7 linked regions of the Macaca fascicularis genome follow. The protein of the gene in region 7 purifies or fractionates together with the protein of the main gene of each other region. This does not show direct contact. Links are inferred from orthologs where the notes say so. Each region holds a gene or a part of one and is shown on either strand. Other genes may lie near its edges. The genes, in order: ING1, ING2, HDAC1, ARID4A, BRMS1L, BRMS1 and SAP30.

Region 1 (4,141 bases), on a different chromosome or scaffold from region 7:
AGCCTCCTGAGTAGCTAGGACTACAGGAGCACAACTGTAATGGGTCATTATTATTATTTTTTAACTGCAGTGAATGTACTAGCCTTGCTTTAAAACAAAGCTGGTAGATTTTACTTTTGCATCTACTGCTTAAACAAAAACATCTTCACATCTATTAAAGTCAATGGACTTTAAAATGCCATCAAAAAGAAAAGAAAACCTCTTCAGTATTTAAATATAAAACTTCTTGGGCATGTTAGAGGACAGTGCATATGATTTTAAAGTGTAATTAGGCAATTTCTCAAGAAACAAAAGCTGTTAAAAAAGTCTAGTTGAGGCCGGGCGCGGTGGCTCAAGCCTGTAATCCCAGCACTTTGGGAGGCCGAGACGGGCGGATCACGAGGTCAGGAGATCGAGACCATCCTGGCTAACACAATGAAACCCCGTCTCCACTAAAAATACAAAAAAAATTAGCCGGGCGTGGTGGCGGCGCCTGTAGTCCCAGCTACTCGGGAGGCTGAGGCAGGAGAATGGCGGGAACCCGGGAGGCGGAGCTTGCAGTGAGCCGAGATCGCGCCACTGCACTCCAGCCTGGGCGACAGAGCGAGACTCCGCCTCAAAAAAAAAAAAAAAAAAAAAAAAAAAAAAATCTAGTTGAAATAAGGGCAGTAAACAGTCTTGCCAAAAGGCTACTCACAAAGAAATTCCAGAGCTCTTTTTCCTCAAACAATAACCATTAAATTAAACAGTACCAGATTATTCTCCTAAAACCTTTTTGCAGTCTCTTTAAACAAGGCAACAATACTACTTTTTTTGTTGAGACGGAGTTTTGCTCTTGTTGCCCAGGCTGGAGTGCAATGGCGCGATCTCGGCTCACTGCAACCTTGGCCTCCCAGGTTCAAGCGATTCTCCTGCCTCAGCCTCCCGAGTAGCTGGGATTACAGGCATGCAACACCACGCCCAGTATTTTCAGTAGACAGGGTTTTCTCCATGTTGGTCAGGCTGGTCTCCCAACTCTCGACCTCGTGATCCGCCTGCCTCAGCTTCGGAAAGTGCTGGGATTACAGGAGTGAGCCACCGTGCCAGGCCAACAATACTACTTGTAAACTAGGAAGTGTATGGGGAGGGGCTGGGAGTGGGAGGGATTGTCTAAAATGGTACCCCCTCCCTTTCCAGATCTTATCTCCAAATAGTTATAAGATATATACCTAACACTAGAGTAAACATAAGAAGTTGGGCCAACGCTGAAGCTTCTCTAAATGGTATTATTTTCCAGAGTATATTCTCAAGCTAAAGACAGCTCTGAAGACATTTCCTAGAGGAACAATGCAGGCTGCCTGCCACCAGGAGGAATGCCCTAGTCTCAAATAGTCACTAATTATAAAAATAAATAGCTGTGTTCAACGTATCCAAGTAATACCAATTTATCCAACTTATTTATCATAGATGTTAAAATATGAGTGTGTACCATTTATTTTTAAATGGATTTAGGCTTATAAAATGGTATCACTTCTTTTCATCAGTAATCAAAGTTCTAAAGACAGTATTGTCATTTGATGGAAAAGAAAACCATCATATAAATTTAAAATTTAATAACACAGAGGTTATTTGGCATCACAAGCAAGCTTCCATCCAGACGAAGCCTAATTTGTGGGGAAGAGAAACAGATATCCCATTGCAAAATTACCAAGAAGTATTTCTGTTACCTAATAGTTCTTTGATACCCCAAACAAAGTATTTTATCAACAAAACCACTAAGTACAAATATTTATAGACAGGAACACCACCACTGCGAAATAGGAAGCCATCCTTCCAGACACTCTGCTCCTTGAATGCCAGCAACTCAGCTTCAGACACACTGCTACCTTTCTTCCAAACATACTCCACACCAACATTACCATGGAAAGCAGCAACACATGGAATTTACAGATTAAATGAGATTGTAGCAACATTGAAATTGGTTTGTCCAATTATTTTAAATGTATTTTAATTTTACGTAAGGGTTGCCCTGAAATTCTTTATGAAGCGGACTTCCCAGGGGGTGGGTAGGTATTTTTATAATAATGTTTGAAAAATAATTCAAGCAATCTCAAACACCATTTTAAATCGATAAACTAATTATAATCCATGTTTACGAATTAACAGACAACCGATGCCTACTAAGCAAAAGACGTCTGACTTCCTGTAGAGTAGATCTGTGAAAACAAGCTTCGTCTTTCAGAACTACGCAGCAGAGCTCAGCATTTACAGCGAAGTCCAAGGAGCTGTGACCCTTGCGACAGATTCTCGCGCTTCTCAGCGCTACCAGTTGCACGGCTCCAGTACTCCCGCAGGCGCGGGACTGTGATCTTTCCTGAAGCCAAAAAGTTCATCATCCTAGGTGAACCTGAAGCAAGCAGCAAGCCAGGCTCTCCCCAGCAACGACAGGAGAACAAAGTGGCTCCGTGAACTTTGCTGTCTTGACGGCTGGGACCCTGCACCCCGCCCCGCGCTTTTTTCTATCGTTGAACGATCAGAGTGGTCTCAGCCCCTGCCTCCCTTCCGTCCGGAGCCCCAGGGTCACTCCACGGAGCCCGCCCGCCCCGAGGACAGCACCTTCCAGGAAAGTTCCCGCGCCGAGGGTCCCGCTCGTGGACGCAGCCCCAGTCACTCACGTTTCCCCGGCCACGCGCGGCCCCTCCCTCGGGTCAGCAAAGATGCGGCCTGGGACTGTCTGCGGGCCGGTCTCGCGGGTCGCGGGAGGCGGCCCGAACTGCAGCCCCGGCCCCGAGCCCCCAGCCCTGGGGTCCCCGCTACTGCCATAACTCCGCGCCCAAAAGTGGCAGTGCTGAGTGGGGGCCTGGGCGACACCAGCCGGCCCTCCAGCCAATGGGGAGGAGGCCAGCGGGAGACTCGCCGCGCCCCCCGAGAGCCGCCGCATATGGGAATCGCCGATTTGGAGGGCGGAGGCCAGGAGGAGAACCAACCACACCGCAAGGCGGAAGAGCACAGCCCGCCCCAGCAGCGACAAGGCCCAATCCGAGGCTGGAGGCCGAGCGACCCGAAGACGTTCAAATCAACCACACTCCACCCCGCTCCTCCCCGAAAAAGAAAAAAGAAGACAGCGGAAACACAGACCCATGCCAGTTATTGCGCTACACCCGCCTTCATCCGCCTCAGCGACCAATCGTTCCGCAGGGGAATGATAAGGACATTCCACGAAGGACGTCACAGCCAACCACCGGAAGGCTGAGGCGGGACGTTCCACAGTATGCTAATGAGATTCCTATAAAAGCAGCTGCGAAGCTACGTCTTGGATAGAGCGCGCAGGGGCGCCTTCCCGGTAGGGGTATCTGGTGCTTTCGGGCATGGCGATGGATTTTTTTTTGCCCCCACCTAACTCTTCCGTTTCCCTACTGCGTAGCTTTGTAAACATTAGTAAACTCGGAGTGGTGATCCACATTCAAAACAGAGCCCCCAAAGCCTTGACTGACCTCGCAGAAAACTTTCCCCAACAGCCAACAATTCCCGGCGGACACGAACTCGCCACCTCTCTCTGACACCCTGGGCGGCCAGATCTGCAGAGAACGACCCACAGGTCCTCTCATCTGCCACAATCCTCTCCAACCCAGCGATCTGCCCGCGCCCCCCCGAGCGCAGCGCTGCGCAGATGGGCGCCTTCCCCGCCTCCGCTCCTCCCCTTCCCTTCCCCACGGCACACAGAGAAAAACCCTCGTCCTCCGCAAACTACAACCGGCGGCGTCGCCCCTCGCAGTCGGCCCTTACTCGGTGTCCAGTGCCAAGTGAGGGCCGGAGGGGACTGGGCGGGGGCGACCGAGCTACCCCGAACGGAGTACTACCCGGTACTTTATGTAACACTCGGATTGGGGACTGGGTGGGGGGCGGCGAAGAAGGGCCAGGGGAGCGGCGTTGCTCCGGACCGAGGCACCGGGTCCGCGGGAACCCCGGCCCACAGCCGCCCTCCTCCTGCAGCCACATCTCGGCGTCCTACAGCCCCAGGCGCCGGCACATCCCTCCATCTCGCGCCGTAATCTGCACCCCCTCCTAGAGGACGCGGCTTGGACCCGCCGCCCCCTCCCCCGCAGCACCCGCCTCATCACTTCACTACAAAGAGCGCTTTGGTCGCGCAGCCTTGCAGCGAGACCTCTCGCGCCTCCTTCCT
Region 2 (4,185 bases), about 10 Mb from region 7:
AGAAATTTATTTGACTGCCTATATGATTTATATCACTAAATATTGCTAGAAATATTAGATCCAAAACCAGAAAAGACTTAAGCACTAGTGAAGAAATAAAAAACATGAAATCTGAACCCAAAACACAAAATATATATAAACATAAAACTGAAAGTTGAGCTCAGTAACCATGCGCAAAGAGTGAAAACTGGATGAGTTTTTAATCATTGATCACAATCTTCATGGAGCTAAGAATTTTTATAATCTCTTAGTCCTGTAAGGCCTACTATATTACTAATCTTACCAGAGCTATTAATACATCACAATTATAGATGATCCGAAAGCAGATTTCCCTGTCAACAAATTATAGTATCCCTTACCAACTTCAAATAGCTTAACTCTTGTGAAAGGAAACGTGTCTTCAAAGAAATGTAAAAACCTGCAAGCTTGCTGGGTGCGGTGGCTCACGCCTGTAATCCCAGCACTTTGTGGGGCAGAGGCGGGCGGATCACCTGAGGTCAGGAGTTCAAGACCAGCCTGGCCAACATAGTGAAACTCCGTATCTACTAAAAATACAAAACTTAGAGGGGCGTGATGGCAGGTGCCTGTAATCCCAGCTACTCGGGAGGCTGAGGCAGGAGAATCGTTTGAACCCGGGAGGCAGAGGTTGTAGTGAGCCAAGATCCAGCCACTGTACTCCAGCCTAGGGGACAGAGCAAGACTCTGTCTGAAGCAACAACAACAACAACAGCAACTGCAAACTTTACAAACTTTAGTGTTATTTGAAAAACTAGAAAGGTTCAATATACAATTATTAAGCACGTATCATTTTTAGGTTACCATTCATGTTTGTGCTCCATATCTGCAGAAATCCCCTTGGACAGTTTTTATTAAAATTTAAATTGTTTGAAAACAAGGATATGCATCTAAAGTTGCAGGAGCTGGAGCCAAATATTCTACATCTAATTAACTGGACGAGTTACTTAAACTCTTTCTAATCTGTAAAAGAAATATTTATATAATGGTCTGGACTCAGCGCATCAGTTTGAATTCCCTCCCCCCCACCCCTCCCCCAAACGCGGATCAGTCCTATGAATCCCATGGATTCAGAAAACACAAATTTATCAACTAAAAAAAATCAGAGACACTTATGTCACCCAAGAAGTGGATTCCTTTAGAGACTTTTAAACTACAGGATTACTGACGTGTTAACAAAAACAGAGAATGGGTCCAGGAAATTATCTTTAAAGTTCATATGGCTGTTTCCATACTATGTTCAAGGTCTGTTCCTCGATTCAAGGTTATTAAGCGCAACACATTTCCCCTTTTAAACTGCCCTCCTAGTAGCACCACCGATAGTAGGTGATAACACTGTAAGGAAGGTCGGATTCTGTCCCGGCTTCCCGGGTCGGCCCGTAAAGGGTGGTTTCGCCTTAACACTTAAAAGTCGGAGAAGGAGGGGCTTGGGGACGCCAGGCGGTTGCCCAGTCAACCAACCCACTTCCTCCTGAAGCCCGGAAGTGACACATGTCCCGGAACCTACGCGGAGCCAGGGTCCGAGACCCTCTGAGCTGCTAATCTCCGTCCTGATCCATTGGTTGGGAAAGAGATTGGAAACATCACCGCAAAACATGCTGCAAACCCCGACTCGGACTCCGCTGGGGCCGAACCAACGCCCTCGCACAGCCTCGACTCCCTCCCCAGCAGCCGGCTCGCCGCCGCCCCTCTCGCAACCAGCCATTTTCCAGGCCCGCGGGAACGCGCGCCGCGCCCCTCCCACTCCCACGTCACACCCGCAGGCCCCGCCCCCGGCGCGGGGGCCCTCCCCGCCACACACGCCCCTCTCTTCCTCTCCCGCGGGGGACCCCTCCCCTCTTAACCATTTTGCCGAAAGAGCTGGGCTAGGGCTGCGGCTCGGGGCGGCCGAGAACTTTCCCGGGGCAAAAGAGCGGAACGGACTGCTCTCCTCCCGGCCGGGGTAGGAGCGCGGAGGAAGGCCCCCTCAATCTGCCTCCGCGGCCTCTCGCCCCCTCCCTCCCGCACGTTCCAAAGCACCCGCACTCCGGGGTGGGGGCGAGTGAGGTGGGGAAGTGCGCCCCGCAGACCAGCGGGAGCCCGGCCGCTCACTCCCTCTGGCCCTTGCCCGGCTGCAGTCCTGGGCCGGGGCGGCAGGGTCTGCGGCACGGGGCAGGCGAGCGCCTGAACAAATGCTTGCTGCTTAAAATGGCTGATTCCCCTCCGCGGCAGCTGCAGCCGCTGGGTCTGCAGCGGGGGCTGACGAACAGCCCCCACCCCCACTCCGGGGACCCCAGAGAAGTACTCGCCCACCGCGGGGCAAGGAGGGCCGCGAACCCAGTCTCCAGTCCTCCCCGTCCCGCTCGGCAGACCCTCGGTGGGCTCGGGGAGACTGTCACGGGAGAAAGGGAAGGTGGCACTGCCCCGGCAGGCTCCCTGCCACCGGCTCCCGAGGCCGGCAGCCCCGCGGCCCCTACCTTGATATTTGTTGTCCAGCTCTCGCAGCACAGACACGTTCCTCTGCATGTCGTGGGGCAGCGACTCCACGCACTCAAGGTAGTCCTGCACGTAGCAGGTGAGCAGCCGGCTCCGCTCCCCGGTCAGGAGCGCGGCCGACGAGTACAGTTGCTGCTGCTGCTGCCCTAACATCCTGCCGATGCGCGCCGTCGCCGCCGCCTCCGCATCCAGCAGCCGCACATGCACCGGCCGCGGCCGCCGCGGTCCCTCAGCTCAGCAGCCCGGCGCCGCGGGGACCCCGCAGCCGCTCGAGAGGGCACGGCCGCGCTCCCCGATCTCCACTCCCCCCAGAGCAGCCCTCACTCCCCGCCCCCGCAGCACCAGCCCAGGGGCGGGGCGAAACTGGGGCTCCCTCCTTTCTCCCCTCCCGCTCCAGGACCGGAGCAGTGGGGATCCCCTCAGCGGGGCCGGCGCCGGGGTCCCGGACGCTGACACTTCCTGTCCCCCTCGGAGTCCCCAGATGCTACCAGTGCCGTCTCGCAGCCCGGATCCCCATGACAAGCCCGTCGCCGCCTGCCTGTCCCCAGTCACCCTCCGTGCCTGACGGGGAGCCTCCCGCTGGCCTGCCCCCGCCCCTCCGCCCGCGGCCGCCTCTGCGCCTGCGCAGCGCTCGATCCCAATAAGGCCGGGGCCCGCCCCTACCGCCTACCGGAGGGTTCGCATTCTCCCGCCTTCGCTTTGCCGCCCGGGCGATTGGTCTGCCGGCTCCGGGCTAGGGGGGGAGGGTGTCGGGGGCGGCCAAACGGCAGGCCGCGCCCCGCCCCCCTTAAAGGGGAAGCCTGGGGAGCCAGTCTCTGCGCCCCGCGTCTGAATGGGACCCGGCAGGGGAGGCGGCTCGGTCCTTCCGGCCGCCCTCCCCGCGGGGAGGGGCAGCTCCGCCCGGCCACACCGGCTTTTTACCCATCCGGCGGTCCGAGTGCGGCTCCTCGCGCCCCTGCAAAGGAGCAGCAGGCGGTTCCTTTTTTTCGGACGACCCGGAGCGAGGCCTGCAGGACTGCGCGTCCCGGCGGGCAGCGGGCGGCAGGCGGCGGGCGGCTCCCGGCATGCGCGGCAAGGCGTTCCCGCCGCCTCCGAGCTCGCCTGGGGCTGCCGCCCTCCTCCTGCCGGGCCCTCGGGCTCGTCCGGCACCGTGGGGCTGATCGGGGAGGTAGGCGGTGCTTCCTCCGGCCCCCGGCGTCGTGTGCCCTGCGGGTTTCGTGGCCCTTCCCCTGCGCTGGAATCTTCTATGTCATTTAGGGGGAAGGGATGCGGGACGGCATCTGCCTGCCAACACATAGGTCCCACAGACAGCCTTTAAAAACAACTGCGTTTGGGGTGTGTCAGAACATTTAAACACAGGACGTCGGCGGGGCTTCCTGGCGGAGTGGGGCACACGCCAGCTTTACGGGACTTTTTGCTTGGTCCTGCCCCAGGACTACAATCGGAGGGGACCTGGGGCATGCAGACGCGAGTAAAAACCTAGTCAGCGGGCGGGCCCTCGGCCCCGTAATCTACGTGATCTCCTAGTGGGGTTTAATTTCGGTGTAGTGTAAACGAGATGCCAAGCAGAGGAACTGATTTTAATTTCATATGGACTTTTTTGAAAGAAATGGGTGCAAATAGAATGAATGCATGGAGAATTTTAATGGAATGCCTATGTAAACAAGCCCTATTGTGAGTACTACCTTTGAGTTA
Region 3 (3,452 bases), on a different chromosome or scaffold from region 7:
TGCCCCGTCTAGGTTTTTATAAATGTCTTACTCAAGTTCAAACCTCCAGCTTGTGAATCAACTGTGTCTCTTTTTTGACTTGGTAAGCAAGTATTAGGCTTTGGGGTGGGGGGAGGTCTGTAATGTGAAACAACTTCTTGTTGTCTTTTTTTCTCCCATTGTTGTAAATAACTTTTAATGGCCAAACCCCAGATTTGTACTTTTTTTTTTTTTCTAACTGCTAAAACCATTCTCTTCCACCTGGTTTTACTGTAACATTTGGAAAAGGAATAAATGTCGTCCCTTTAGTGGTGCTTTAATGAGTGGTCTTCTGGGGGTAGGGTGAGAAGATTGGTGGAAAGTAGTTCACCTCAAACCTCAAGGGAGGAGTTAAGGCAGGCAGGTAAGTTTATGGGGTTTTCTTGTTCAGGGGGTTGCCCCAATACTCATGGACACCAGAAGGGCAGGGAAGTAAGAGTTGAAACCAACCCAATGACACGTAGGAAACAAGCTCAGGAGGATATAGAAATGTACCATTTTATTACAAAGAGGCTCACAAAAATGAAAATAGTATCTCAAAAAGGAAACTAGACTAGCAACCTCCACCTGCAGAATTAGGAGAAGACGGGGCAGGCAGTGTTTCTTGGCTCACTTGAGGCCAGTGGGAAGGTATGAAAACAGAACCAATCTAAAAATGGCTGATGTTACCTTAGGAGCCTGAAAAGAACAGGAGATCCTTGAAGACCCAGCCACCCCTTCTAGAATATTCAATAAGGGCACCTTTCCAAAGCTACTAAGCAGGCACTTCGCATTTCAGGATTTTGTCTTACGGTTGCATAAAAGCATCCCTTTGACCCAGACCTGGCACCCTTTATGGTTCAAGGTTAAGAACTGGGGAAGAATGGGTGGCAACGTGGCCCCTGGAAGAGTTCACCCAGCACAGCTGCCCTGGGCTCAGGGCCTTGGTTTCTGTCCCTGGGGATATTTATATTTAATAAATTTTTATATAAATACACAGAGAAATAGAAAATATAAAATCTGAGGGGTTGGGGGAGAAAGGTGAGGGACTCAGCAGGGAGCCAGAGCTGGAGAGGTCTGTTCAGGCCAACTTGACCTCCTCCTTGACCCTGTGGAGAGAGCAGAGACTGGCATGAGATGACCCAGCCCAGAGCCTCGGGGCAAAAGTGCAGACACAGTGACTTCCACAGGATCCCAGGTGACTACTGGGGGCTGGGGCTCCTAGCTCTGCCTAGAACTGCAGAGCTGGACAGACTGGTCCCTGAAAGAGGCCTTTGTAAGCTGGACCAGCTGTCCCTGTGCCTTTCTTCAGAGTAGTGGGACAAAGGGGCTGGTGCTCCAATGCCAGGGAGATGGCTGCAGGCAGCTCGTTCCTCACCCTTTGGCTTCTGGCTTTTCCTCCTTGGTTTTCTCCTCTTCTGTGACTTCTAGAACACAAGAGTACAGGGATGGCTAAGGGCAGCACCTCTGGAAAGACCCGTGAGGTCTTCATTTACCCTGAGACCCCTTCCCCAACACTACGCTCACTGGACATAAAAGAGAGAAAAGCCCATCCCTGGTCTTCCCAGTGAGCCCTGTAGAGAACAGGTTGGACCGGTTTCCCAGCCTGCTACAGCCAGAATCTGGTGGGCGGAGGCAGCCCCCTGGGAAACTGGGGTGCAGTGCTGGGAAAAGGGCTTGGGTGGTATGTGAGAGCCGTGCTTGGCCAGTAGAGGTTCGTTGTTTTGTGGGCCCTGCCACTTCTGGGAGACACTGAAAGGCTCAAGGAACTGAGGAAGAGCCCCACAGGAGCTGGCAGGGCCTGAGTCACTCCCTCCTCCCACTGCCCTACATAGATTCATCCTCTCAGGCTCAAGACCCAAGTCCCGGCTGAACCCAAACCCACCTTTCTTCTCCTCTGGGTCTTTCTCTTTTTCATCCTCTGTTTTGACTCTCTTGGCTTTTTTGAAGTTGGAAGAGTTCTTGCGGCCCCCCTCTCCCTCCTCTTCAGAATCGGAGAACTCTTCCTCACAGGCAATTCGTTTGTCGGAGGAGCAGACTGGGAGGGAGTGGGAAGCATGGGTGAGAGCAGGCGGGTGCCGATCTAGCTCAGCATCTATGCCCAGTGCTTCCCTGCAGGCCCTCCAAGAGACACCAAGGGAAAGGGAACCAGAGAAGAGGGAGGAGCTCAGGCTCCCTAACCTGTTCCTACAGGCACTGGAACTGGAAACAGATTTCTCCAAGGTGGGGAGCTTGGAGAGTGTGCAGCCAGGAATGGTGGTGGAAGTGGGGGCTGCCTACTGAGTGGAAGGCATAGGGCTCTGCGTCTAGGTCTTACTCGAGATGCGCTTGTCAGGGTCTTCTTCGTCCTCATCGCCACTCTCCTCAGGGATGGCGTCCTCAGGAATCGCCTGCATTTGGACCCCAGGTGCATGCGGCAGCATTCTAAGGTTCTCAAACAGCCGCTGTCTGTGGCCAGTGGGAGAGAGTAGCAGGGCTCTGGTCAGGGACAAACCAAAGTCAGGAATGTTCAACCAAGGGGTGGCTGGAGGATATACTCACTTGATCTTCTCCAGGTACTCATTCGTGTTCTGGTTAGTCATATTGGAAGGACTGATGTGGAGCTTGAAATCCGGTCCAAAGTATTCAAAGTAGTCGTTGTATGGAAGCTCTGATTGGGGCAGGGAGAAGACCGTTAAGAGACCTGGCCACCGCACCTGAACCATTTGCACGTAAGCACCCTAAAGCATTTGTAGGTTTCTCTGGGCCCTTGATCCATCTGTCAAACAGAGGAGAATGCCTCCAAGACACGGTGAGACACGGGTACCTATGGGATTTCCATCTTGTTAACATCACTCTATGTCTATACCAGTGGTGTATATGTCGCTAGGAGAAGGTCCATGTTCCTGGTTTAGGACACTTGAGCCCATGCTCATTATGAACGCTCCCTTCACTCACTACTCCAGTTACTCTACAGAGCAGAAATTCCAAAGCTGTAAATTACCACTGAGAACTTTGTCCAGACCAAAAGCAGAAGGGAGAGGGGACAGAGCTAAAAAGGACTAGGGAAAAAGTGATGGTTATGGTCTGCTGATCACAAGAGGACATGCAGGGGACTCAGTGACTAGTATCAGAAGAACAGTGGTCATATGACCAACGGGGAAGGGGTTATAAACTTAAGGACAGATGAGCTCCAGCTCCCACCCAGCCCAGCCAAACCTGGCCCTGCAGCTATTACCATTAGGGATCTCCGTATCCAGGGCCACAGCTGTCTCGTATGTCCAGCACCGGGCAACATTACGAATGGTGTAACCACCACCTCCCAGCATCAGCATAGGCAGGTTAAAGCTCTTGACAAATTCCACACACTTGGCGTGCCCTTTGGTGGGAGAAGGGGTGCTGAGTTACAGGAGCACCAAGCAGGACCCCGCCCACCCATCCTTGTGCTACCTGGTCTCACCTTTGATGGTTAGATT
Region 4 (4,226 bases), on a different chromosome or scaffold from region 7:
ATGCCTTTCACTTTTTTATGAATACTTTTGAGCAAAATCACTGTTACGAATAAAAAACTGATTCTGCTTAGTTGTTTTCTTACTGAGAAATCTTAGTCCACGTGGATTACGGACGCTATGTCACATTTAAAAAATTACTCCATTCTATAAAACAACTAGCCAATTTATACTCCAATTCCACTATTTAAAAATATGTTTCGTTTAACAGAATACAAAATGTTAACAGAACAAGACCAACGTCTATCTTATCGGGGACGTCCTTTTAAGATGTTTTCAGTCCCTGCACAACCAATCTTTCCTTTCAAAAAGCAGCATAAGCCTCGCGCAGAGGGACACAGACGCTTGTCTAAGGTCACAGAAGCACCGTCTGTGCTGGCAAGTAAATTCCTCAGCATCCAAAAAGCCAGCGCTTTCTCCAGTTTCCTCATAGCTTTTTCGCGTGAGGAGCACGCGGAAACCTCTACCCATGCAGAATGTTTCCAAGAATCACTTCTGACCTGTCTTAACTAAGGAGACTCCCATAGTTTGTGCCAATCAGGTGGAGAATATGGCAAGTATCCAAAATGCACTTCCAAAGACAGGAAAGACTGCTCAGACAGAGGCAGAATTCAGAAAATCTCTCACATTCTCGAAAGCCCGAAAAAGCACCGCCAAGAAAGACTTTTGCCTCTCCTCCACCTCTTTCTCTCGGCGGGAGAGGAAGCCTCGCCCCCATTCATCCCGCCCCTTCTCCCCACCTCGCCGCAGGGAGAACTTTTACCATGGCTTCCTGCGGCCCCTTCACTTCCGGTGCCGGTGCCGCTAGGGCTGCGCCATCCCCCCCAGTCAATCGGACAACCATAGCCTCCAACTGACCTTTCTGACAGCTCTGAGACTCCTCCGGCCAAGACTAGGTGCTGTCCTGGAGGAAACGGTGGAGGACGGACGCACAAAAACCAATCTACCTGATGAAAACTCCGTTCCCTTCTTGCCAGAAACATAAAATGCGATGGAGCTACGGCGACCGCTGCCGAGACAAAATGGCGCCGAGAACCTGGTTTAGCGCAGGCGCCTTGGAAAGACCCTGCCCCGCCCCCGTGCAAGCCCCTGGCTGCAATTCTGGGTTCCGTTTCCATGGGACACTCCGCCGCCAATCCTCGTGCCGAACTGCTCTTCCTGACCCCTCAATTCACCAATCAGTGCCCAGTCAAGCACATCCGGAGTCGTCTCTACCAATCATTTCTCAAGACTTGCTTACTCAATAACCAACTCTCCAATAACGTTGGTCTTCGGAAAAAGCCAATCATAAGTGGAAGATGTCCTACCTGCTGTTTTTCGCACCAATCCATGAAGTTTCAGAGCTACATCCAATGAGGACGGCAGGTAGCGAGGTCCTATCCGAAGCTCTTCGGCGTCATGAACAGCCAATAGGAGTTCGTGTAGAAGCGAGTCTGCTCAACAGCTTGTTATTCGGTGGATTGTGGCAGTAAATCGGGGCGAGTGGGGAACCGGGCGCAGGAACTGCAGCCGCGGTTGGGAGTGGTGCTGCCCGGACGGGGGCCCACGGAGGTCAGAGGGGAGGAGGACTCTGGAGCTGACAGTGCGCACTTCACCCGCAGTTGGTAGGCGGGGAGAGGGGAATCGGGGGATACTGAATGGATGAAGCGGCAGTGGCAGCAGCTGCTGCTGCCCGGGGTCCCGGTGCAGTTGGAAGCTTCGGAGGTGGGGAGAGGGATGCTAGGCAAGTGGCGCGGCGAGCGCAAGAGAAGGGGCCAGCCATGGAGCAGCGGCAGCAACTGCAGGAACCGCCGCCGCAGCTGCAGCCGCCTCGTCCGCTTCCCCGGGTTCCCGGGAAAATGGCTGTGGGGCTGGCCGCGCCGCTAAGTTTGCTTCCGCGCCGTGAGGAGCGGGCTGCTTGGGGGAGCCGTTCCCCAACTCCGCGGCGCGTCCACCTCTGCGGAGTCCGTGGCAGGACTCGAGGGGCTGCGAGCTGATACGTCTCTGGGCTGTACAAAAAGTTGAGGCGGGCGCTGGGAGGAGGCAGCGGCTGCTGCGGTGCGGCTCCCCTCCCCTCCCACACCCTGTCCGGGCCACCTCCCCTCCTCCTCCCCTCAGTCCCCCGCCCCCTCCCCCGCGCGGGTCTCCCGGGGCTCTGGCGGCTCCCGGCTGAAGGCCGCGGCCCCTGCCCCTTTGGGTGAAGGAGCGCTTCTCCTTCCTGACATGGTGCAGAGCAAAGGAAGGAGAGCAATGGCGCCGTGACACTCCGCTGCCGCCACCGCGGGCCCGGGGCGGGCCGAGGGGGCCGAGCAGCGGAGGCGGGGCGCGGGCCGAAGTCGGGGTATCCAGGGGACAGCGGTGCGGAGGCCCGGCGGTCGCCTCCGCGGGGGACCTGGGGAAGCCCGAACGGCGCCCTGCCCTTTTCCGGAGCTATCTGTCCTGGGGCTCCGAGTTCAGCATTCCGGGTCAAAGTGGCCAGCGAGGCGGGGGCGCGGTGGGCCTCTGGCAAGCTCCGGGGCGGAACGGGCTGCCCTTTGGCGCGCGTGGGGTTCTTGTTGCCCCCTCCGCTCCTGCATCCTGGCTGCCCTCAGAAGGGGTCTTGTTCCTTGGCTGGTGAGGATTCTGCCCCTCCCCGCTGGCGTTTGTTTACTTTCTTTCCCTTGGTCGCTCCCCGCAGTTGACTGATTCTGTCTGTGCCTCTTTCCCCCTCCCCGTAGTTCTAGCGACTGCGACGATAGCTCGCTGAGCTGGAACCCCACAGATCACCAACAAAAATGAAGGTAAGTGGAGTCAACGCTGCCCCGATCCTCGCGCCTTGGACACTGCCAGTCGTAAGGCTAGTGCCGTGGAATGTCATTTGTTTTGCTCCTCAAAATTGATGTTCCTACTGATCAGCAGTTTCGGCATAGGAGGATGTGTTGAATGGGTGAGAAATGATCTGTGTGTCTAAATGCGGAGTTTGGGCCCTCTCTGTGGCAGTACTTTGGAAAGGCTGGTGCAGCCTTTCAATTGTTGTCCATTCGGATAGTATTTTTAAACACTTCCTGTGTTGGCAGCAACCTTTGCAGAAGTAAAGCTTTTGTCCTGCTTTGGTTCTTTGGGGGATTTTTCGAAAATTTTTTTCTTCCTCAGTGCCAATGCGATTTTGTAAAAGAAAGAGTACGTGGATTAAGTAATTAAGTAAAGAAGGTGTCATTTCTTCTGTGTGTAAAGTGAACTTATGTGGCTAAAATATTTGAAGTTGAACTATAATAATAGTTTCAGTTAAATCTTTCCAGTAAATATTTTAAAACATATACTTATTCTAAAAAGATACATATTCTACTGAGGATGACTGCAAATATCAATATGTGGATGGTTAAAGGGAAAGGATCTCATATAGCATTCTTGAATGCTGTGGCCATTGAATGTTTCAGGTCAGATTTTTATTTGCCAAAAGCATTCCTATTCAATTTGTATTTTTTGTAAACGTTCTTAAAAGGTAGCCAATTCCTGTCTTATTTACTGTTTCAGTATATTAAGCTCTGAAATATAGCATTTTCCCAAACTTTCTCATGGTTTTCTATTTTCTCCAAGTAAATGACATATTTAACATTCTTTAATATTACTTGGGAAAACTTATTAGAAAACAAAAAATCATTTTCTACTTAAAAACGTATCTCCAAAGTGTACACTGTTAACTTTGCACTTAACAATGTTAAGTTGAACTTGTATGGATACACTTTAACTTCTGAAAAAAAAAAAGGTAAAATGACAGATTGAGATAGCAATCATCCTGTTACTGTAAAGATTAAAATGAATGGTAGAGTGAAATTTCTTGCATCATTCTATGTATCATTCTGGTCATGTCCATTTGCTGAAAGTAGATGTTTCTTAGTAACGCTTGTTTTTTTATACTAAGAAGATCAGTGTGGTAAACTAGGTATGTCTACAGGTCTTGAACCATCGGTTCATATCTGCATTCATCAGCTGAATTCAGACTTAAAACCTTTCAAATGCAGCTTTTAGCAAATGAATTTTCCAAATTGATACTCTCCTTATGAAAAGATGTTACCTTTACGTACCTTTGTCAATAAACAATTATATATTGTTAGTGTTAATATTAGTAGCAATATTTATTTTAATTAATTTGCAAAATTTCAGGAAGCTATAAATGAATAACTTAGTTTTATGATATGTGTAATATGAAATATTTTTTCTGATTTTTTTATTTTTCTGCTTATATAAATAGAATTTTTGAAAAATTTTGT
Region 5 (2,461 bases), on a different chromosome or scaffold from region 7:
CAGGAGTTTGAGACCAGCCTGGCCAACATGGCGAAACCCCGACTCTACTAAAAATACACAAATTAGCTAGGCACAGTGGCACGCACCTGGAATCCCAGCTACTCAGGAGGCTGAAGCAGGAGAATCGCTTGAGCCCGGGAGGTGGAGGTTGCAGTGAGCCAAGATTGTGCCACTGCACTCCAGCCTGGGTGACAGAGTGAGACTCCATCTCCAAAAATAAAAATAAAAATAAAAAAACAAAGATTTTCTATTTAGAATTTCATAACTTACACTGTACCTTTTAATCAAAATACAATATATATGCATATATTTTAAAATTAAGTATAACTTAGCTGTCTTGAAGATCTAAATATACCACAGAAAGTGCTAGGATTACAGGTATGAGCCACTGCACCCAGGCCACCCCATATCTATTAACGTAAACCAATTCAAATCTTTCTTAGAAGTGGATAGGTTATAAAAAGAACTAAATACACATAAGTAATCCAAGACACTACAAATCACACTCAAACACATCTTTTTATTATATACTAAATTTAAAAATACAAATCTTATTAAAAATGCTTATCAAACATTGTATACATAAGTACTGTCAAATACTATTGGGTTATGACATTATGTACATTTGCTAATGTTAGTTAGAAACAGAACAATGTAATATCACTTTGCTGACACTGAATTTCAGAAGTTAAGTGTTTTAAAATTTGGTAACTATGAAGTAGTGATCTGCACAGGAAGATGTTTGGAGAGGTAAAATAATAAGAAAACAAACGGAATAACACAGATATTTCTGCAGTAAGTGTTAATGAGTAGATTTCTTCCTCATCCTCTTAACTCTTATTGTAACAGAAATTAAAGTGCACAAGACCACCAAGAATACTCGATTTGGTGTACCCTAAATATATACTACAGCCGGCTGTGCTGCCATATCGAGGGTTTTAATTCTTTGTACTGTTCCTGAGGTTTTGGAAGTTAATTTTGAATGTGGCTAAGGGAAGGGAGGCCAACACTTTCTAAATTGCACCAAATGGCCTTAAAGTGTAGAAATACCAAAGATAAAAATATTAATTTGGAAACAGATTCAAGGAAATAATCCCTGTCTACTTTGCCCTAGGAATAAAATTAGAATAGGACACAGTTTTACCTCTGGAAAATGCTTACTAAAATCTGTTTCAAAAGACCAGACGTGTACAGCAAGCACAATACTGTCAGTTATTGTTCACCACTTATATACTGCATCATAAATACCAGGTATAAATACCTGCCTCTAAAGGGCCACTAGAAATACAGGTAGAAGCATGTGATCACTTTACGCTAATTTTACTCATTACGTATAATTTGTAAAAATAGGTCATCGCCCCACCATACAATTAAGGAAGAGGAAAAGAAAAGTTGCTATTCTACAAAAGTGCTCCTTTTAGCTTTCAAACCCAATAGCTTAATTTTGGGTAAAACAAGATTGTAAGGTACGGCCATCAGTTCTAAATAAGCTGATGATGCCATATATACATCCTCATATATACACATATATATATATACTCATATATATATGTTTAAATTTCAGTTCTGATTTAACACTAATGTACTAGTACAAACCATTTATAGGAAACATTTTATAGACCTTATTTACAAACACACAATGAATGACAAAGATATGGAAAATTTTTAAAATTGCAGATAAATGTAGTCATAGTTTACTAAAGATAAAACAAATTTGCATAACTTTTTTAAAAACCAAAGAAAAATCTTTAGAAAGAAACCCCTAACATATACAGTATATCTGTTGGTCATCAGACCTAAGAGGCAAATCAACGTAAGGATCATGATAAAATTTTTATTACTGTTTCTTTTAATAACATATCAATGAGATCTACTTAGAGTACTACCTACAAATACACATTCTCTCATGATTCAGTGAGAATATTAAGTTATTGAATACATTTTTTTTACTCTCATGGCACATTACATTTGGTAACACTAATAAGGTAAATTTAGATAACACTTAAATCATGATTATGAATGTTTAATTGAATATTTTCCTTTCTGTAGCTGTGAAATGTAAAGCTTAGATTTGCTTCCATCAGGCCTCTTAAACCAAACTTCATCATGGTTAATTGTTGTAATTACAGCACTAAAAAGAAAAAAAAGAATGAATGAATGAATTACAATATGTCTCCTCAATTCATTTTAGATTATTACCTATATAAAACCAAAATAAACTGGCCTACAACAGTAGACTCTGGTACATAATTGTCGTTTACCAGAATGCTGCATATCAGCAGTGCATGCTGCCAAAAATATCACATTCAGCAATACTTAGTAGATCATCCTTCTTTTCTTAATAGAGTTGGTAAAATTTACTATTAGCACTATTAAAAGCACGTTCTTCCTACTCCATCCCCACCCCACCTCTTAAAAAAACAAAACAAAACTGGAGTTAAAAGCACTACTTATCTGGTAT
Region 6 (2,878 bases), on a different chromosome or scaffold from region 7:
TGAACATGGGTTTTAGGATTTTAGGTTGCCATGGAGAAAATATGCCACGTCTCCATGGAAACCAACCTATTTGCTTAACTGAGGTTCTGGGGGTGGTTCTGACACTCAGCACTAACCAGGGGGAGTCTGGCTGTGAGGTCGTTAGCACATGGTGCTGCTGCCGGCTGCCTCCTACGCATGCAGGCTCTGCCAGCCTGCCTTGCCAATCTGCCAGGCAACTGGGACAGGTGCAGACATGACCCAGGCTTCAAGCACACGCACCCATCCTCCCCACCCGAGGCACTCCGCTGGCGCCATATGTTCTCTGCCCAGTGCCAGGCAGCCCAGCGCCCACCTCCCCCTCCCCAGTGTGGCCCCACGCACAGTGCTCCAGCCTCTGCTGGGCAGTGCAAGGAGTGGCAATCTGCAGGCACCTCAGAAGTCAGCCTGGTTCAGGTGCTCCCCACAGAAGCCCTGATTCTCTTGCAAGGTAAATCACACATACACGGGGCACACCAGAATCCCAGGAAAGGTTTTAATTCTAGTCCTTGAAATCTGAGAGGCAGACACCAAGAACTGCCCTGAGAAAACCTGGGGGGCCTGGCATCTCGCCTCCAGCCCCAGCCAGGGTGGACAGCCCCCCTAGATATCACGTCTGACTCAGAGTTCCTGCACAGTGGGGCCTGGCTCCCTGGCCCTGAGGCCGGAGAGCCTGCATCCAAGGTCAGCAAGAGGATGTGGCTTTGACTTCAGCTGTCTTCTCTGTCAGGGGAGCCCCAAGAGGCGGATCTTCAGGAGCGGGAGGTGGCAGGCGGCTCAGGGATGGAGACAGCAGCCTTGCCTGGCCAGGTCGGCTCCACAGCCACAGCTGTGCAGGCCTCGAGGAGGGCAGAGGAGGAGTCCAGGCCAGTGCCAGCGGAGTGGGAGGGCCCAGCAGCACCACAGGAGCCTGGCTGGGCAGACCCTGAGGGGCCTGTGGGTCTGCCTGTCTGCAGCAGGAAGATGAGAATCCTGGGTGCGGTGCCAGCTGCTCTGAGGGTCCCCCTGGCTCTGAACAGCAGGGTCACGGTCCTGTGCGTATGTGGGAAGGAGAAAACTGTCACCAGTGAGGAAGCTGAAAGGAGGGGGGCAGCCACTTACTGAGCGGAGTGACTTTGGGCTGGCCCAGGACAGGCCTCCTGGGCAGCTCCACGGCCCTCCCTGACCCCTCCTGAGTGGGAGCTCCATCAACCCAGGCTTCCCCAGCCCCATCCTGGTTCCTGCTCCTCAAACTCCCACAAGCCCCTCAAATCTAGACCATCCTAACTTTCTTGGGCCACTGATTCTGACACAGCCACAGCCTCTCTCTGGGCTCCTTCCTGGAGGCTGAGCTGAGGGAAGGTGATGGCAAGGCGGGCAGGGGAGGCCGTACAACAGCCATAGTTCTTACCATCCGATTTTCTCTTCTGAGGGGACACAGCTGCCCTAGCCTGGGTGGATGAGAAGAAAAGCCCCCCTGAGAGCCCACCTACAGCCTGGCAATCCCTGCCCCACCTCCCACCTCTGTGGCGTGTGGGCTGCTGCCTTAGTGCTATGCCCCCAGGGCCAGGAACATAGGGCCCCCCAAGCCAGAGCTCCCATGCTCCTGACCGCTGGCCAGCTCAACGGCTCTCCCGCCTCCCTGCCCCCCTCCCCCCTCCCACCCCATCAAAACCTGCCCTGGAACAGGAAGGGGCTGACACAGACTAGAAATCCCTTCTCCCAGGGCCGCCTTGAGCAAGAGGACTTGTGAGCCAACTGCGATCCAGGGACCCTGGGCTGAAGATGGGGGAGCCTTGGTGAGCAGAGAACTCCCAGGCCTGCAGATGGCAGAGCTGCTGCCAGGGTGGGGGGCCCTGAGGTGGGGCAGGGCACATGGGCAGCAGCGGCCCCACCTTTTTGATGGCCGTCCAGTCCTCCAGGATGTCGATCTCTTGAAGCATGTACACGATGTATGGGCCTGTGGTGGGGGTCAAGGAAGCCCAGTGGAGGCGGCAGGTGACGAGGGCAGGGCCACCCACCTGACATTCAGGAGTGGGGGTACAGCAGACAGCATGAAGTGGGAGCTGAGGATCTGGGTCCGAGCTCAGGTTCCACCTCCTACCTCTTCTCCCCCCAGTTCCAGGGTCCTCCTGGAACCAAGTCCATGGAGGACACCAAGTGTTGTTCCCCATCCCTTGCTCACCCTCACCTCGTCTTGAGGTCAGCTGGCTGAGGCCCATCCCATCTCACCCTGCAGCACAGCCCTGACCTGGCCCCTTCCCCGATCCAAAGACAGACGCAGGGCTTCTCCCTTCAGAGACAACTCCCCTTCCCCACAGTGCTCCCTACCTGATGTCTCCATGCCTTCACCTCTCATTCGCTCAAGTCACGGCCTTCCAGATTCCTCCCTCCCTGCCTGGGCCTGCTCTCCAGCACCAGGTGGCCATAATGACTAAGGCTGGCTGCTGCAGGAATGCCCTCAGGGGCACAGGAGGACTCAGCTCTGCCAGGACAGATGAAAGCACAGCAGGCCCTGGACTAAGCTTAAGCTAACCCTGCCTAGGGAGGGGCGGAGGCAGCTGGTGCCCTCTGGGATGTGGGCACCCCATGGTAGGGCACAGGAACACACAGGAGAGTGAAGCCATAGGCACTGGAGTAAGACCGGAGAGGCCTCACAGAGGAGGTAACGTTTGACATGAGCCCTGGACAGTCAGGACAGGCAGGACTTCCAAGAGGAGGGTGGGATATGAGCAAAGGCTCCCCAGGGAGAGCTGGGGACCCGCTCAGACAACCCCAGGAGATGGAAAGTCCTCAAAGGCCAAACCTCACTCAGGCTCGAGTGCAGTGGCACATCATGGCTCGCTGCAGCCTTGATCTCTCAGGCTCAAGCAATTCTCTT
Region 7 (4,098 bases):
CAAAAGAAAAAACAATTATTTATCACTAAATTTACTTACTAAAAGAACTTGCAAAACAAAACCCTACTGCCTAAAATATATTTTAAAACGTATTTGTGTTTAAGCAGCGTATATCTTCTGATAAATAATGACGCGTTTTAACTAGTAAAGGCGCAGCTTTCGTGTTAGCCACGCCCATCCCTCGCCCCGCCCTCCACGAGCACCTCCCCCCGCATGCACGCACGGACATACACGCGTACGCGGGCACACACACGTACACACGCGCGCGCCCGCGAACACATACATATAAGCAAGAGCGCACAAACGCGGGCAGCATCCAGGAGCGCACGCGCCTGCCAGGTCTCAGGAAATGCGCTTTCTACTCCCCGCGCCGGTAGAGCTAATGCAGGGAAGTTTCTGGGAACAGTCGAGCAGCGTTTGTATTGGTGAGGTTCCAAGTCTCCTTTAAAATGATACGACTCCGCCCTTCTCCAAAACCGTTTGAGGAGAAATGGAAAAGGTTGGGCGTGGAGGTGAAAAGGAGCCCTGTTGTCAGCTGGTCCGTACTCCACCTCAGGAGGCGGCCAACTCCGTGCGTCCAAGAATAAAAACATTTCCCTTGTAGGAACATGCAAGGGTTTAGAAACGCCCCCCCGCCCCCCGCGAGGCGTTTGTGAGGGGGACCTGTCACAGTTGAGAAGTCAGGATGGGCGTTTTCCTCCCAGGAGGTGCCCTACTAATTTGCTGCCTCGATAGTTGGTCAAGCCGGGATGTTAGCTGCGGAACCTCCAGGACCGAAGAGCGCCAATTCTCCTGAGTTCTCCTTGGTTTGGGTTTCCCACAAAAGCGCGGTCACACCAAAAGCTGTGTTTCCACAAATGCGAAACGGCCTCGAAACTTTTTTTTCCGCACACGCTCACTTCCCACACCACTCCCATCCCTTTATGTTTCGCCTCAGGAATCGAGTAACTTCTCTGAAACCCAATTCTACGAAATCCCAGCAGCTAAACACAGCCCGACTTCCCTAGAGACAGAGAGAGAGAAAACACTGTAAACCCCAATCACACGCTCCTGTTTTCCCGGTACTGAAAAAAAAAAAAAAAGTGGGTCCGTGGCCGCGCTATGCATGCTAGGATTAGTAGTTCCTCCATCTCTCAGGGCGAAGGGTCAGGGCGGAGCTCAGGTTGACTCCGTAGCAGACAACTACAATTCCCATGGGGCCGCGCGTTTGAAAGAAAGGGGCGGGACGGGAGGGGGCGCGTCGCGCTTGCGCAGTCCCCGGGGCCGGAGGGAGGCGGAGGCGTAGCGGTCCAACTGCTGAAGTCCCCATGTGACAGTGAGCGGGGTCCCGGCTCCAGAAGACGCTAGAGTCTGCGTCCGGGCCCTCAGCACTGTCCACTGTTCCGGGGCCAGCAGAGACCAGCAGGCCCGGGACGGTTGGTGTTTGACCGTGCCGCTAACTTGGTGTACAGAGTGAATTGCCGCTGCCGGAGCGGAGAGAGGCGGAGCGGCCAGGAGAGAGGGGATTTCTGTCAGCGCCGGCGCTCGGGAGCTCGGAGACATGAACGGCTTCACGCCTGACGAGATGAGCCGCGGCGGAGATGCGGCCGCTGCAGTGGCCGCCGTAGTCGCTGCCGCGGCCGCCGCCGCCTCCGCGGGGAACGGGACTGGCGCGGGCGCCGGGGCTGAGGTGCCGGGCGCGGGGACGGTCTCAGTGGCTGGGCCCCCGGGGGCGGCCGGGCCGGGCCCAGGGCAACTGTGCTGCCTGCGGGAGGATGGTGAGCGCTGCGGCCGGGCGGCAGGCAACGCCAGCTTCAGCAAGAGGATCCAGAAGAGCATCTCCCAGAAGAAGGTGAAGATCGAGCTGGATAAGAGCGTAAGTAACCGCGGGATCGCCCTGCCCTCCTGTCCCTTGGTGGGGCCCCAGGAGTCGGGCAAAGGCACGGATTGTCGGCGGGGTCTCCCAGACCTGGCTGCAGTGCGGTCTCGTGGAGTCTGTGTTTGGAAGCAAATAACAAAGTCGCTGCAACTCCGACCGCCACCCCAACACACACACAACACGCACGCTGTCGTTCCCCTTTTCTTTCCCACCCTGCCCCCAGCCTCCCGCTGCCTGCGACTCTCCCGCGCACTGTCTTCCCTCTTCCTTCTCCTCTGCGACCAGGACACGAAACAAAGGGGACCGCCGGACCGAGGGCCCAGAGTAGTTTTCTTGCAGCCCGGCAGCTCTTCTGGAATGGAGGCGCCTTTGTTTCGCTGCCCAAGCTGGTGTTTGGCCCCAGGCGGTGCTAACTCCCCTGGTCTAGGGAAAAGTGGAGGACCTTCGCGATCAAGGAAGATCCTGTTCCTTTCTGTGCTCCGTCTCCTCCGGAGCGGAGTGAGAGGGAAGCCGAGCTCGCCCGCCGCCTGGCAGTGAGCCGGGGCTGTAAACGGCGTTTGCGCTGTCAGCTCCGAGGGCAGCTGCTCCGATGGTGGGGAGCACGTAGCCTCTGCGGTTTTGCCATCCCCTTGGCAGCCATCAGGATTTCTTTTTTCCTCCTCCTGCGCGTCTTTTCGTTTGACCATCTAACAGCCGTTGCCACTTTTGGGAGATCTGGCTAGCGGTAAATGAATAACATGGTATCAAGAACCTACCACAAGTCCTGCGTATTTTTATCTTGCGCTTGGCTTCGAAGTAAATGTAAAAGCCTGTTAGCTCAGTCCGTATTTGTTTCAAATGTTAGTCTCCAGTTCGCAGGAGTGTGTGTAATTAAAGTTTTTGAAAAGTTTATTTGTGATACTTTTTTGCCCGTTTAAACAGTTTTCAGTGTTATCCGTGAGAAACTTTTCAGGTGAACTTGCATAATTTCAGATTGCTTTGGGAAAATGTGTTATAAATAAATACATTGATTTAATTTAATATTCAGAAAAGTTGATAACTGAAATTTAAATATAGTTATGAAGTCGATAGCTCATTTGTAAAAACGGATGGTTTTGTATCCGGAATATAATTTGGGCATTCAGTTGGAAAGACTGGAAAGCATACATTATGTTACAAAAATATGCTCTTCTTTAAGTAGAGAAAGTACTGTCAAGTAGCAAAAGTGGGCAGCATCATCTTTCCCCTTAACAGTTAAAAATTCAACATGAACTAATTCATGTCATCCTCACTGCTATTTATTTATTTATTTATTTATTTATTTATGTGAGACAAAGTCTCACTCTGTTGCCCAGGCTGGAGTGCAGTGGCGCGATCTCAGCTCACTGCAACCTCCACCCACCAGGTTCAAGTGATTCTCCTGCGGTAGCCTCCTGAGTAGCTAGGATTACAGACTAGTGCCACCACGCCCGCCCAATTTTTTGTATTTTTAGTAGAGACGGGATTTCACCATTTTGGCCAGGCTTGTGTGGAACTCCTGAGCTCAAGAGGTGCTGGGATTACAGGCGTGAGCCACCGCGCCCGGCCCCTCACTGCAATTTGATGACAAAACCCAGAGGGTTGGAATTTCTCATTCTCCTCTCCCTCCCTCCCTTCACCCCTTCCCCAAATGGAACCAACCCCTCCTTCCCCATCCACCATCCTTTTAACAGTATTCCAGACTTCTTATGTTTTAACAGGGTTTAGGATTTAAATGTATAAATATTTCATTGTGTTAACAATGGCCATCTTGACTGTCTTTATTTTTACTATCTGTGGCATATGTGTTTTCCTAATACATAGACACATTTTACTGTAATCATTAGCAGTGTGTGAAACTTTTCTGTTTCAGGCAAGGCATCTTTACATATGTGATTATCATAAAAACTTAATTCAGAGTGTTCGAAACAGAAGAAAGAGAAAAGGGAGTGATGATGATGGAGGTGATTCACCTGTTCAAGATATTGATACCCCAGAGGTAAATGGAAGTTTTTTATGCTTAATATAAATCCTAAGTAGTGCATTCTGAAACCTTTATAAAAAGATATGAACAATCTTTTAAGTGTTTAAAACATTTGAGAAATCTGAAAATGAAAGCAAAATTAAATATAGCCAGTTGTCATGCATTTACACAGTTTGAATTGTTACATTTTAAATTGACAATTTTTGCGGCTCTGTTGTCACATAACTTACTCTTTTTTGACCTCAGTTTATATTATTAA

Evidence for each region.
Region 1: the proteins of SAP30 (region 7) and ING1 purify together in Homo sapiens (affinity purification with mass spectrometry; 6 studies listed by BioGRID and IntAct, with this or other methods). This does not show direct contact. The link is inferred for Macaca fascicularis from reciprocal best matches to the Homo sapiens genes SAP30 and ING1.
Region 2: the proteins of SAP30 (region 7) and ING2 purify together in Homo sapiens (affinity purification with mass spectrometry; 3 studies listed by BioGRID and IntAct, counting the BioPlex papers as one, with this or other methods). This does not show direct contact. The link is inferred for Macaca fascicularis from reciprocal best matches to the Homo sapiens genes SAP30 and ING2.
Region 3: the proteins of SAP30 (region 7) and HDAC1 purify together in Homo sapiens (affinity purification with mass spectrometry; 19 studies listed by BioGRID and IntAct, counting the BioPlex papers as one, with this or other methods). This does not show direct contact. The link is inferred for Macaca fascicularis from reciprocal best matches to the Homo sapiens genes SAP30 and HDAC1.
Region 4: the proteins of SAP30 (region 7) and ARID4A purify together in Homo sapiens (affinity purification with mass spectrometry; 5 studies listed by BioGRID and IntAct, with this or other methods). This does not show direct contact. The link is inferred for Macaca fascicularis from reciprocal best matches to the Homo sapiens genes SAP30 and ARID4A.
Region 5: the proteins of SAP30 (region 7) and BRMS1L purify together in Homo sapiens (affinity purification with mass spectrometry; 4 studies listed by BioGRID and IntAct, with this or other methods). This does not show direct contact. The link is inferred for Macaca fascicularis from reciprocal best matches to the Homo sapiens genes SAP30 and BRMS1L.
Region 6: the proteins of SAP30 (region 7) and BRMS1 purify together in Homo sapiens (affinity purification with mass spectrometry; 3 studies listed by BioGRID and IntAct, with this or other methods). This does not show direct contact. The link is inferred for Macaca fascicularis from reciprocal best matches to the Homo sapiens genes SAP30 and BRMS1.

What each region holds. Positions count from the first base shown.
Region 1 is NC_088391.1:101,291,382-101,295,522, reverse strand, and holds the start of ING1 (inhibitor of growth protein 1), read right to left. Parts: upstream 2,801-4,141; 5' UTR 2,782-2,800; coding exon 2,634-2,781; exon of another isoform or gene 2,140-2,633; intron 1-2,139. UniProt on the Homo sapiens protein: Cooperates with p53/TP53 in the negative regulatory pathway of cell growth by modulating p53-dependent transcriptional activation. Implicated as a tumor suppressor gene.
Region 2 is NC_088379.1:188,295,656-188,299,840, reverse strand, and holds the start of ING2 (inhibitor of growth protein 2), read right to left. Parts: upstream 2,801-4,185; 5' UTR 2,644-2,800; coding exon 2,472-2,643; intron 1,623-2,471; exon of another isoform or gene 827-1,622; coding exon of another isoform or gene 820-826; intron 1-819. UniProt on the Homo sapiens protein: Seems to be involved in p53/TP53 activation and p53/TP53-dependent apoptotic pathways, probably by enhancing acetylation of p53/TP53. Component of a mSin3A-like corepressor complex, which is probably involved in deacetylation of nucleosomal histones.
Region 3 is NC_088375.1:202,688,324-202,691,775, forward strand, and holds the end of HDAC1 (histone deacetylase 1), read right to left. Parts: coding exon 3,437-3,452; intron 3,356-3,436; coding exon 3,215-3,355; intron 2,648-3,214; coding exon 2,539-2,647; intron 2,446-2,538; coding exon 2,315-2,445; intron 2,036-2,314; coding exon 1,883-2,035; intron 1,425-1,882; coding exon 1,376-1,424; intron 1,107-1,375; coding exon 1,079-1,106; 3' UTR 501-1,078; downstream 1-500. UniProt on the Homo sapiens protein: Histone deacetylase that catalyzes the deacetylation of lysine residues on the N-terminal part of the core histones (H2A, H2B, H3 and H4).
Region 4 is NC_088381.1:126,146,077-126,150,302, forward strand, and holds the start of ARID4A (AT-rich interactive domain-containing protein 4A), read left to right. Parts: upstream 1-1,426; 5' UTR 1,427-1,601; intron 1,602-2,092; exon of another isoform or gene 2,093-2,589; intron 2,590-2,693; 5' UTR 2,694-2,750; coding exon 2,751-2,756; intron 2,757-4,226.
Region 5 is NC_088381.1:103,694,360-103,696,820, reverse strand, and holds the end of BRMS1L (breast cancer metastasis-suppressor 1-like protein), read right to left. Parts: intron 2,132-2,461; coding exon 2,014-2,131; 3' UTR 501-2,013; downstream 1-500. UniProt on the Homo sapiens protein: Involved in the histone deacetylase (HDAC1)-dependent transcriptional repression activity. When overexpressed in lung cancer cell line that lacks p53/TP53 expression, inhibits cell growth.
Region 6 is NC_088388.1:8,063,357-8,066,234, reverse strand, and holds the end of BRMS1 (breast cancer metastasis-suppressor 1), read right to left. Parts: exon of another isoform or gene 2,329-2,878; intron 2,019-2,328; coding exon of another isoform or gene 1,958-2,018; coding exon 1,893-1,957; intron 1,449-1,892; coding exon 1,409-1,448; intron 1,051-1,408; coding exon 1,043-1,050; 3' UTR 501-1,042; downstream 1-500. UniProt on the Homo sapiens protein: Transcriptional repressor. Down-regulates transcription activation by NF-kappa-B by promoting the deacetylation of RELA at 'Lys-310'. Promotes HDAC1 binding to promoter regions.
Region 7 is NC_088379.1:178,114,134-178,118,231, forward strand, and holds the start of SAP30 (histone deacetylase complex subunit SAP30), read left to right. Parts: upstream 1-1,298; 5' UTR 1,299-1,540; coding exon 1,541-1,855; intron 1,856-3,728; coding exon 3,729-3,854; intron 3,855-4,098. UniProt on the Homo sapiens protein: Involved in the functional recruitment of the Sin3-histone deacetylase complex (HDAC) to a specific subset of N-CoR corepressor complexes. Capable of transcription repression by N-CoR.